3 linked regions of the Saccharomyces cerevisiae S288C genome follow. The gene in region 2 interacts genetically with the main gene of each other region. Each region holds a gene or a part of one and is shown on either strand. Other genes may lie near its edges.

Region 1 (3,783 bases), on a different chromosome or scaffold from region 2:
ATAGAACACGATCCTGTGGAAGGGAATCTTGAATTTGATTCTACCAACCATCCTGACTATGATGTATCTAAAAAGGCTTCTGAAATTTCAGTTAGCTCAAGATCTGACAGAGAATACCCACTATTAATCAGAATGTCTTATGGCTCGCATGACAAGAAAACAAAATGCTCAACAGTGGTAAAAGCAAGTGAGTTAGATCAATTTTGGCAAGAGTATTCATCTGTATTTAAGGGGGGCATGCAGAATTTGATCAAGAAGAAGAAAAAGAAGAGTAAGAACGGTACCATCAGTAAGACAGGAAAGAAAAACAAGGTAGCGAAGAAAAACTGATGCACGTGACACTTGAGTCAAAAGGCATGTGCGCCTCTTGTTATCTTTGGATGTGTAGATTAAAGGATGGCAACGTAGATATAAAAGATTAATTGCATAAAGTTGTGTAGATATAAATTTAACTAAACTTTAGAATAAACGTTTTGAGATGACTATTTTTGAAATTCCTTTCATTCGTCCAGGCGTTCCATTACAATATTTCCTGATGGATATATGCCGCTAACGTCAGATATTTTGGTAGATAAATCAAGCTCTCTTCTTGGTACCGGCGTGATCAATTTGAAGCTATACTGGTGCTGATAATTAGCAGGTTGGTATACGGGTAAAGTATCGTTTTCTGAGTTCAACATGTCATGCAACTGTAATTCTACGAAGGCATATATCTCCTCCGTTGGTAGAGATGCGTCAAACTTTCTCACTAATCTCTGCCCATTTTCTAGTCTGATCGCAACTTTGCTTGCATCTTTATCAGAAGAGGGTTCGGGTTTTAGTTGGCTTTTTCTCCACAATAGCCATTGGTTTTCTATTCTTTGGTGCTCTCTTTCCATTTGTTCTCTTTGGGTCTGTTCCAATCTTTCTGATTCTCTTTGTTGATCACGTCTTAAGGAATCCTGGTATCTTGAATCCTGTTGTTGTCTTATTAATCTCTGCATTTCAATATTTTGTCTTTGCTGACGCAATTGAATTAATCGAGAATAATTCTTGGAGAATATGGCCTCCAAATCTTGGGCTTTGTAGTTAGAAATAGAACCTTCAACTCTTGCTATTAACTCTATTTTTTTCTCAGCCTTTAAAGAAATTATTCCAAGTAGGGGATATTGCCTAATTTTTAATGCATTGGAAACTTGCAACCCCTCGGATGTAGTAACGTCACCATACCATAGTAATACCTGGTACTTCCTTATCATGTTAACAAAGGCTTCTGAGCACAATATTTTATTAACGTAATCCATATGATTATCCAACAATGGGTCATGTAAATAAATGACTCCAAATTTCACTTGTTCGCTACAAGCATCCAATAATTCAGTGTAACTATTTTGCATAATGCTTTTGGAAAATGTTCCATTTTCAGGGTTGTATAAAGAACCAAAACTAAACTGGACCCCACTGCTCTCATTGTTGCTCGTACTGTCAGTATTGCTGCCATCATCATTATTCCCGTTACCTTCAGAACACGTTACAGCTTGAGCTTCGTTTTCTAGATTTTCTAAAAGACGGTGTAATTGGGAACTGTGGTCTAGTAAACGGTTGTGCTTCCTCTGGTAGAATCCGTGAAGTCTTAATAGAGGTTTTAAAAGACGTGAACTTCGGACAATGAAATTCAATAAATAATAAAGAACTATTAGGGGAGCTTGAAATAAAAAATGGAGTATTGATTTTAAGCGTCCATCCCGGCTCTGTGTGGGTTCATTTGTATTGCTGTTTTGATCTTCTGTCCTTCCATTCAAATCAGCAGGTGGTTCTTCTCTAAAAGCACCTGGGATTCGAATAAAGGAATCATCATTATTTCCAAAAGTATGCCTAAATATATCCATGTTTAAAGGGTATGTTTAAATCGCAGTCAAGCCGATTGATGAGGTACAACAAAATTTGGGAGTACGATTGCCCGCTGTTTTTGAACTTACTCTCACTTTTTGCTTCGTATGTAATTAAGCAAGGATGTGTTACAATAAGATTTCGCTTTGTTATTATCGTTTTAAAAGCGGTCGCCGAAGTGTCGAATAAAGGACAATGATAACGTAAAGAGAAAGAAATTGGAAAGAGACTGACCGCTAAGGAGATTGAATACATATATATAATAGTATGTGGTTAACTTGGAGAAGATAAATTGGATTTAAAGTAGTGGATAATTTTTCTTACATTTTCTATTGGTAAACCATAGACAGGGTTGACATCAGTAAGTTTCGATGATCCAATTAGGCGGTCTGGAGTACACTTAATATTATGTGGAGAATCATTAGGAGTGCAACTGTATGAACTTTCCGCAACAGCCAGTCCTAATAGGCAATAATTTGTATGGTAAAAGTCTGAGTGGGCCCCTGGTTTATCTCTCAAACCAGGTTGCTCTTTTTCTTGGCAACAGTACAATATGTAGTCCCGAAGAGCATGTTTGTTGAAGCATTGGCCATATCCAAAAGCTTCAAGAATGGCAGCCGAACCTCCAACCCAAAAACTATAGCAACCGTCAACAAGTTTGTTGCTCCTTCCGCAAAATCCTCGTTCTTCTTGCAATTGACGAGCACTAGACCATTCTAAAAGCTTTTCAACATTTATTTGGTCCATGGACCTTAAAATTGCTAGACTAGCTGTAGCACAGAAAGTATAGCCTCCGTGTGCCTCATCTACGTGAGGACAACTGCCGAATCCACCTTCATAATTTTGACAATTTTTCAAATAGTTTAACACACCTTCTGTAAGCTCTTCTGTAAGAATATTTAATAAGGTTGCTATGCTCAAGGCACAGTATATACCTCTTGTATCCACTTCTCCGACTTCTAAACAGGTCTTGAATCCTCCATTAGGCTCTTTCAACGATATCAGCCATTGGTAAATTCCTTTTCGATCAATTCTGTCCCAGCATCCATCTATGTTATCGCAAAGGGAGAGAGCATTAATTGCAGCATAAGTGCTGGCCAAATGAGATAATTGGCCAGGACCTCCACCAAAGGGTCCTCCTGAAGGACTAATAGTAAAGAGCTTATCTACAATTTTTCTTTTGGTGTCATCTGAAAGCCAGTCTCTGTCCATTACCTTCAATGAGTTAGCAATCCAATATAGCATCCACGGTTGTGAAGCATCTAGTGCTGTCATTTGTGGAGGTAACGATATCTCAAAAGCGACATCCAAGTACATTTTGTGAAACTCTTTCGTGAGAGCAGGTTCTATATTCTTTTCATCATCGTATATCTCTAATACACTTTGTAGTACTTTGTATCGTGCTTCTGTAGTGTCGGTTTCTAGTTCCTTCATCAATGGTTGGATTGCTTTACTTGAATCTACATGCGCTATATCGACGACTCTTTCCATAACTGGTCTCTTTCTTCCTAATAAGGCAGTATTTATAAATTTAGCCCTAGCTATGGACCTTCCTACTCTCTGTCGCATACGCTTTGATTGCCTATAGCTTTACAAGCACTGCAGTTGTTTCTGCATAAGAACGGCGATGATATGGACCCTTGCTTGGTTTATCCTAGCCACTTTCGCGTGTTTCAGTTTCAAGCTTTCCTAATCAGGCAACAGCTTATACGAAAAGATTAATAAGTTACAATGTTAAACAGTTTCGCTTCAAGACCTCTAACGTTAGCCAGAAATAATAAGAATAGGTGGATTAAGTTACAAGTGTTTTTGTCCTCCTACTTAATCAGAACAGAGCACGGGAATAGTGATCTCTTTCAATAGCGAAAGGAGGGAAAAATAGCCCTGCAATATATAAAGGAAGAAGTTAACACC
Region 2 (3,122 bases):
ATTTTCATTTTCCATTGAAGTCTATTGTGCCACTTAATCAAAATGCGTTCGATGATAAATTTACTAAGTTCTTTAATAACTTGGAAAACTAATACACTAAAACACATGCACGCCACGGAGTATGGACATTATAAACGTGTGAACATTTCAAACTCACAACTTGCATGACATTACTCTCTCTTTTGCATCCTTTATTCCTCGACATACCCCATTTCTCACTAATTTGGTATTAGTAATTATGCAGAAAGGTTCGAAGCTGTCAATTCTTTTTAGACATGTTTCTTGAAAGTCTTTACAAAAATTTATCAATTGGAGGCATCTCAAGCTCTCCATTTATAAATGGAAGAAAATGAGCCTCTTCCCTTCAATTTTGCTTAATCAATAACTTCATGTATTCTTCCAATATAAGAGAAGATGAGTAGAAGGAGAAAATAATCACAATTATTCTGTAACTATCATATAATTTTGTTTACATATAATTAAGATACGAATGTGTTCGTTGAATAGGTATGTGGAGTCAGGGTATATCAGTTAGAAGAATGAGAATATTTCTTCTTACCGATATCTAAGGGTATATATCTATATTTTATCATATGTTGAATCTGCCTTCTCATAGTTAAAAAAAACAATAATATGAAATACATCAATAAGATGGGCCAAAATACTGGAATATCGAAGATTGAAAATAGCGACAACAAGAGGGAAATGACAGTGGCTCTAATGCTGTTATACCAGAATTTGAACTCTGGTAATCTTCTGATGAATGGACGGAATTCTTCTGATTTTTCTCCAGCTTCCAATTCGTTGTTTTCTTCATCTTGCTGTAAGGACATATCGAATTTTGGGGTCAAAAAGGCTAAAAATTGATTCAATAAAAATAGACCTAGACCATAACAAATCACATACCAGCCTTCGGCCATTGTAATACGAACCATAAACAAACATAACAAACCACCCAATACAGCCCACCTCTCCTTAGCGTGAGGAGTGACTTTATCCAAATAGTGTTGATATAATAATTTCATTGTATTCATCTTAGTGATTAAGGGGTTACTTGAACCACCGTTCATTGTATCAGAGCTATCGTAATCCATCTTGCTTCCTTTTTTTGATACTCTATGCCTTTCGTGTAACACTTAGTCCCAAATCGAAATCGCCTTTCTTGTATCGTTATTTTTCTTATGTATAATTCGTGTTCTACTGCAGAGGCGTGTTTTGACAAGTTTTTTTTTCCTCTGCGAACGAAAAACCCACAATTTTTAACCTCATTGAGGTAAGGTTTTCCAGAGGAGAGGTTGAGGAGCCCTGCGAAGCAATTATATTGAATCATTCACATGCTTGTTATTGTTCTGCAGGGCTTGGCAGGTTTTTTATCAGTATGCATAATTGAAGGAGAAAGTATACATGAAAGGTTTGACTAACTAAGGGAGAAAACTTCCATTTCTTACATAGATCATCGCCATTCTATGTCAAAAGCGCTATAATAAACTTCATCGATCTATTTACGGGCTTTCATATGATTTATTTCTGCTAGATTTTGTTGGTAATGGTCTGTACTTGTATTGCGCGTTGCATTATTGTTATTCATCTCTGGTGAGGGAACAACTGTCTCAAAGATTCCCACTTTTTTATCCGTTGAATGATGCCCGTAGTATACCTATATCCAGTTTCCTCATTCTAAAAGATTTTTGCGTTTCCTGTTGCTGCATGATGGTTTTAAGGCAGTTATACTATTATAGGTCAACTAAACATATTTATCAGGGCATTTCCATTACTTCCATAATAATTATAAGTGTGTTCCTTGTATTAGGCATATTTACATATGGCTGTTCCATCTCTAATTTACCGTTGAAAAATTCAGGTAAATTTGGCGTTTTCTATTTGGAACACATAAATTATTTGTGGGTAATGGCAAATCTGCTTAAATGTTTCAAGTATGTGCCTCAAATGAGTATAAACTGGATGGGATGCTCAACAGTAGGTTTATCATCAAAGTTTGCATTGATATCATTTTTGGCTGAATCTATCGATTTATTAGGTAGACTGGTAATACCGACCAATGCATTGTTTTACGAGATACCATTTAATTCAACGCCCTTTTGGGTAAAATTGATACAATTTGTCACCTTATTGGTCATACTTTGTCAAGTTCAGTATGTTTACGTAGGACGGAAACCACGGTTGCCAAAAGGAAAACTATAACAAGGTCAGCTCATTCTCTACCTTAATGGCTTTGCGATGTTTGCAAATTTAAGGAGTTTTAGATAATGCATTTATTATTACTATTTTTTCTTTTATTTTTCCATATTTACAGGCGACATACTATGATAGAATAGAATCTAAAGTTTTTTACCCAAAATGGAGGTAGCTATCTTTACACCAGTGCCAACATGTCTTTCTGGGTCTGATTGAAAGTCTTCTAGAGTTACAGGTTTTGTATATTGTAATAAATTATCTAACTCTGCTTTCATTTTTTTTCTTAGCTCTTCATCTCTTGTAATAATGAGAGCATTCGATTCCAAATCTAATGAATACGCCCTTCTCGTATAGTTTGAAGATCCTATAACCGTGATAAAGGGTTTCCAATTGTTAGCATCATTTTTATCACGAGCGGAAAGCCAAATACCTTTTGCGTGATATGACCAACCATTCGGCTTATTTACTACGCCTCTTTGCCATTCTCTTAATGTAATAGCATGATCTTGTCTGTACCTACATACATCTTGTAGAAATTTTTTTGACAGGTACAAGTAAGCACCAGGTAAATTTGATGAGACGCCCTTTGATTGGTAAAAGCCGTTTGCAAAGGGGGAAGCTGTTATTACATTTGCCTCAGCAACCGGCGTTGCCAGCAGTTTTGCTTTGATGTCTGGCAAAATATTGAAGTATCCTGCAGTGAACGTCCAAGAAATGGCATTGCTTGTTATAGTGGAAAGCAATGACAATATTGTTCTTTTTTCGGTCGATTTGTCATTATATTTGGGAAAAAGTGGAGTGAATTGAGAAATTGGGTAAACTAATGTGGAGAATTGACCCACGGCAGTAATCGGGAGGCTTTGTTTAGAACTCTTTAAAAAGCCATCTAGTAATTGAGATGCTTCCCTTAAAAACAGCCTTTTATT
Region 3 (5,123 bases), on a different chromosome or scaffold from region 2:
ACTAGCGACGATGATACATCCTCACAATCATCATCTTCATCACATTCTGATGATGAAGAACACGGCGGCCTTTACATAAATGCAAGATTTTCCAGGAGGTCTGACTCTGGAGTTCATTCACCAATAACAGATAATTCCTCTGTGGCTTCATCTACTACTTCCAGAGCTCATGTACGTCCCATAATAAAGTTGCTTCCTGATACCACTTTGAATTATGGATCAGACGAAGAATCTGATAATGGCGAATTTAATGGGTATGGTAATGCTGTGTCACATAACGTCAATACCTCCAGAGGCTATGATTACATATACGATTATAACTCGGTCTACACTGGTGATACTTCCAGTTTTTTACCAGTAGATTCATGTGACATTGTAGATGTTCCTGAAGGAATGGACTTACAAACAGCCATTGCAGATGATAATGCATCAAACTATGAATTTAACAATGCGGTAGAATCCAAGGAAAAACATGTTCCACAACTACACAAAGCTTCAGCAAATAATACAACACGTCAACATGGATCGCATATGTTATTATATGACGACGACAATTACAGCTCTTCATCAGATAGCGAACAGCAATTTATTGAAGACTCACAATACAATAGTAGCGACGACGAAGAGGAAGAAGATGACGATGACCAAGAAGTAGACGATAACCACGATGAAGGACTTTCACTGAGGAGAACATTGTCACTTGGGAAATCAGGATCTACCAATTCTTTGTACGATCTAGCACAACCATCACTCTCTTCGGCAACTCCTCAACAAAAAAATCCTACTAATTTTACAGGGGGTAAAACTGATGTAGACAAAGATGCACAACTGGCTGTCAGGCCGTATCCGTTGAAGCGCAATTCCTCTTCAGGGAACTTCATATTCAATTCAGATAGTGAAGAAGAGAGTAGCAGCGAGGAGGAACAAAGACCATTACCCGCTAACAGTCAGCTGGTTAATCGAAGCGTATTGAAAGGCAGTGTGACACCAGCAAACATATCATCTCAGAAGAAAAAAGCCCTTCCAAAGCAGCCAAAAGCGTCCGATAGTTCACAAAGCTTTAGAATTGTAAATAATACTCCTTCACCAGCCGAAGTGGGGGCGAGTGATGTTGCCATAGAGGGTTATTTCTCTCCTAGAAATGAATCTATCAAGTCTGTTGTTTCCGGGGGAAATATGATGGACCATCAAGATCACTCAGAAATGGACACTTTGGCAAAAGGATTTGAAAACTGCCATATAAATAATGCTAGTAAGCTAAAGGACAAGAAAGTTGATAGCGTGCAAACCACTAGAAAAGAAGCGTCTTTGACGGATTCGAGTAATGAAAGCTTACACAAAGTGGTGCAGAATGCAAGAGGTATGGCAAGCAAGTACTTGCACTCTTGGAAAAAGAGTGACGTCAAGCCACAAGAAAATGGAAATGACAGCAGTTAGAAGAAAGAATTTTGAAGTCAACATGAAGAGAAAATAAAAATCCAGGTAGTGTGGATCAGTGCCGTCTTTAGGATCCAAGTAAGCTGTAATCGACTGGCATTGTCAAGGACAAATGTAGACAGCGAAGCAGTTATTTTACGTACACAATTAAATTCGCTCCAGATTTCAAAACTTCTTTATACCTTTACAATATTTGGTACTTATGTACAAGAACTTCTTGAGCTTCCATAGTCGTATGTGTGTTCTATATATTAGCAATTAAACGCAGCTGATCTAAGATATGTTCGTGGGTAATGATTTTCAGATAGAGTACAATCAATGTTTTCTTCGATCTTTAAAGGGTTTTTCCTTTATAAAGAAGACACCACACAACAGTCTAGAAAGTAAACAAAACAAACTACGACACGGCTTGTTTTAGGCACAACTTTGTTTTAGGCAGAGCTTACAGTAATTGGCAGTATTGATATCCTAAAGCAGTATTAAAACAATTTAAAGGTTTGGTGAGGTATCTGGCCAATGTCAATAAGCGAAACACCTCATAATAAAAGCCAGGGACTGCAAAAAGCGGCTGGTCGTCCTAAAATTGTTGTTCCTGAGGGATCGCCTTCTCGTAATAGTGATAGTGGCTCTTTTACTATAGAGGGTGATACTTCCCTTAATGACGACTTGTTAAGTATATCTGGCAGTGTCACACCAAGAGCGAGAAGATCTTCGAGATTAAGTCTGGATTCAATAACGCCGCGAAGAAGTTTTGATTCTAGGACACTATCTGTTGCAAATAGTAGATCATTCGGTTTTGAAAATGAAACACATAGTGGGTCCATGGACTTTTCGCCATTGGGAAATAACTCCATCTATGAAATTGTGATGAACACAAGGAGGAAAAACTGGCTCAATTACCCCACTGTTGCTGATATTCCACAAGTTAGCCTAAGCAAAAATGATCTGGATGACCATTGGAAAACTCATGTTATCGAATACGTCAAAAACATTAAAAGTGATTACCAAATATTTCAAAGCACAAATAATATAAGAAACATGAATCAGATGGAACAGTTAAAAGAACTGCGAGAAGGGGAAAATATGCATGAGGAGTCGTTTGAAGCAAATCTGAGGCAAGGGGATGCCGAGCTAATAAATAGTATACCTGACTTTTACTTTTCAGACAAATTTCAATTAGATAACCCTCGAACTTTTCATAAAGTGTTGGACGCTATCGATTTATTTTTAACGAAACTAGACATGAAGAGACAAGCGGAAAGGGATGAGGCTTTTTCTGAGTTGAGGGACAGGCTAAACGATTTTTTGGATATCGTAGAAACATTACTGGTTACAGAGATATCCAAATCCTCACACAAATTTTTTCATGCGCTAAGTGAAGTTGACAATATTCAGAAAAGAGCCTTGGACACAATGAGCGAGCTTAAGGAGCTAGCACAGAATATCAAGACCATTGACGCAGAGAATATAAGAAAAAAAATTTCACATTTAGAAATGATTTTTAAGAGGAAGAATGTAGAGAAACTAGAACAGGGATTATTACAGGCGAAGTTAGTGCTGAACAAAACAGATGAGTGTAAGTCAATGTATGAGGAGAACAAGTTGGATAACTGCTTAGAGCTGATAAAATCCATCGATTATCTGATTAAGGGGGATGATTCAATAAACGAAGATGTTCAGAGTTGGACTAGGTGTTGGCCCTATAAATTAAGCAATTTGAGGACGATACCTGCTTTGTCAGCAACGAGAGAGTTTTTAACCAATATGAAGATTGAAATAGGAGGAAAGTTCAGCCTACAATTATCGATTTTACTAATAGATGATTTAAGATCCTTTTGCAAATCAATCAAACCAAAGGAAACACTACATAGGATACAAACGGGATCTAATGATAAAAAGCAAACTATATTTACTGATAATTTTTCTTCAAAGATAACCGAATTAATAGTCAGATTGAATAGATGCGAAGAATTAACGAGTGCCTTTGACCTATACAGGGAAAAATCTATCACTGAGCTTAAATCTATCATAAAAATTTATTTGCCAACAGAGAATGCACACGCTGACAATAACCACGATGAAAAACATCTTAACAATGGCTCTACTAGTGGGTCTAAACTTTCAAGATTAATAAAGGAGCAAACTCCTGCAGAATTTCAGTCCATGCTAGTAAACATATTCACGCACGCGCTCGAAGCTCTTCGAAGACTTTATGGGCATCAAAAGTTGCTTCTAGATATCTCTCTTAACGAGCTAGCATCTGTTAAAAGTCCAAACGAAAACCAGCACAACATGATTACGCAATTGGATATACGTACTGGCATCAACGAAATAATCAGAATTATTCAGTTACGTACAGGCAAGATCATTGCCGTAAGAAGAGAATTGAACTTATCTCTACGGTATGATTATTTCTTGAAATTTTATGCTATATGCGTTATTTTTATTCAAGAATGTGAAGTATTAAGTGGTGAATTTTTAACGAAATATTTAAGTAATGTTTTAGCATCTCAGATCAAGCATTATGCAAACGCACAAAGTTCAAAAAATTACCGCAACATAAAGAAAAAGATTGATGCTGAAGAATGGATTCCATATATTGTGGACTCCTCTATTCAGAGCGATGTTAACGACATTGTGTCAAGTATAGACATAGACCCATTGAGTTGGACAACTATTTTAGACATGGTAGGGGGTTCTCATGATTGCGAAAATGGCAGAAGCGAGGACAAGGAAAAAGATGAAGGAAATGAAACATATCAAGGTCATAGGAAATCGGTTGTTGTTGGCGATAAAACTTTTGTGGCCAGTAGTTCTCTGCTCGCTACCATTGAGGTTATTAAGGAGCTAATGGTTCTTTCCATAAACCTTCCCTCGATATACTTATCAAATTTCGAGAAGTTGTGCTATGACGCACTACAATACTACAACAGTAGCGCCATGGCATCTGTCACACAACCTGGAAACTCACTTTTAAAAACGGGTAGAAACTTATCTATCATGGGAGAGTCATTGGACTGTCTCGCAGAATTTGTGATTATTGTTCAGAGATTTTATCAAAGGCTTTCCAACTCTAACAGGGATTTTGAGCCATTCGATGCGAGTCATTATACAACCCTGTTGGGGCAATTCCAGGCCTCATCGAATAAAATATACATGGCCAATGCCCCACCTCCGCCTGTATAAACATGATAAAGAAAAATTAGATTTCAAGCTATGTACCATTATTTACTTTTTAAACTAATGAATCATCGATGTTATATTCTCTAAGAAATTCCGCTTTTTTTTTAGAACATTATCTACGTATTATTTTTCCAAACATGAGCGGTGAAGAAATGATCAAACAATGAAGATCGAGCGAGGTCAGAGCTTTCCAAATGCGATAGGAAAGGACTTTTTCCAGCAGCTATGAAAATGTACTTCAAGTATCTCGTCAGTTGCTTTACAACTCATCTCCTGTAATTTCCAACATAGCATCGTTCACGACACAGTTGGCGCTGAACAAATTTTGTGCATAGAGCAAGCAGCCGTTTCTTGTCTGCGTCAAGAAGAAAGATAAAGGTAGAATGGACAGCGTGTCAAACCTTAAGAGCACAAATTTTCAGAACAATAATGACCCAAAAGAATCTGTAGAAGAAGCAGTGCTAAGGTATGTGGGAGTCGACTTGAAGAATCATATTAAAAAG

The links.
Region 1: mutations in RER1 (region 2) and UBX3 together harm fitness more than expected from each alone (negative genetic interaction), as found in Saccharomyces cerevisiae (2 studies listed by BioGRID).
Region 3: of RER1 (region 2) and VPS54, changing one enhances a phenotype caused by changing the other (phenotypic enhancement), as found in Saccharomyces cerevisiae (2 studies listed by BioGRID, with this or other methods).

Annotation. Positions count from the first base shown.
Region 1 is NC_001136.10:292,892-296,674, forward strand, and holds UBX3 (clathrin-mediated endocytosis regulator UBX3), read right to left. Parts: upstream 1,869-3,783; coding exon 501-1,868; downstream 1-500. Other genes in the region: RNA-binding signal recognition particle subunit SRP14, read left to right, coding at 1-330; RAM1 (protein farnesyltransferase), read right to left, coding at 2,143-3,438.
Region 2 is NC_001135.5:109,888-113,009, reverse strand, and holds RER1 (protein retrieval receptor), read right to left. Parts: upstream 1,095-3,122; coding exon 528-1,094; downstream 1-527. Other genes in the region: YCL002C (uncharacterized protein), read left to right, coding at 1,335-1,376, 1,453-2,202; PGS1 (CDP-diacylglycerol--glycerol-3-phosphate 3-phosphatidyltransferase), read right to left, coding at 2,340-3,122. UniProt on the Saccharomyces cerevisiae protein: Involved in the retrieval of endoplasmic reticulum membrane proteins from the early Golgi compartment. Required for correct localization of SEC12, SEC71 and SEC63 in the endoplasmic reticulum.
Region 3 is NC_001136.10:494,149-499,271, reverse strand, and holds VPS54 (Vps54p), read left to right. Parts: upstream 1-1,953; coding exon 1,954-4,623; downstream 4,624-5,123. Other genes in the region: protein phosphatase regulator REG1, read left to right, coding at 1-1,437; NSI1 (Nsi1p), read left to right, coding at 5,004-5,123. UniProt on the Saccharomyces cerevisiae protein: Involved in retrograde transport from early and late endosomes to late Golgi by linking the vesicle through the t-SNARE TGL1 to the Golgi, leading to the membrane fusion between late Golgi and endosomal vesicles.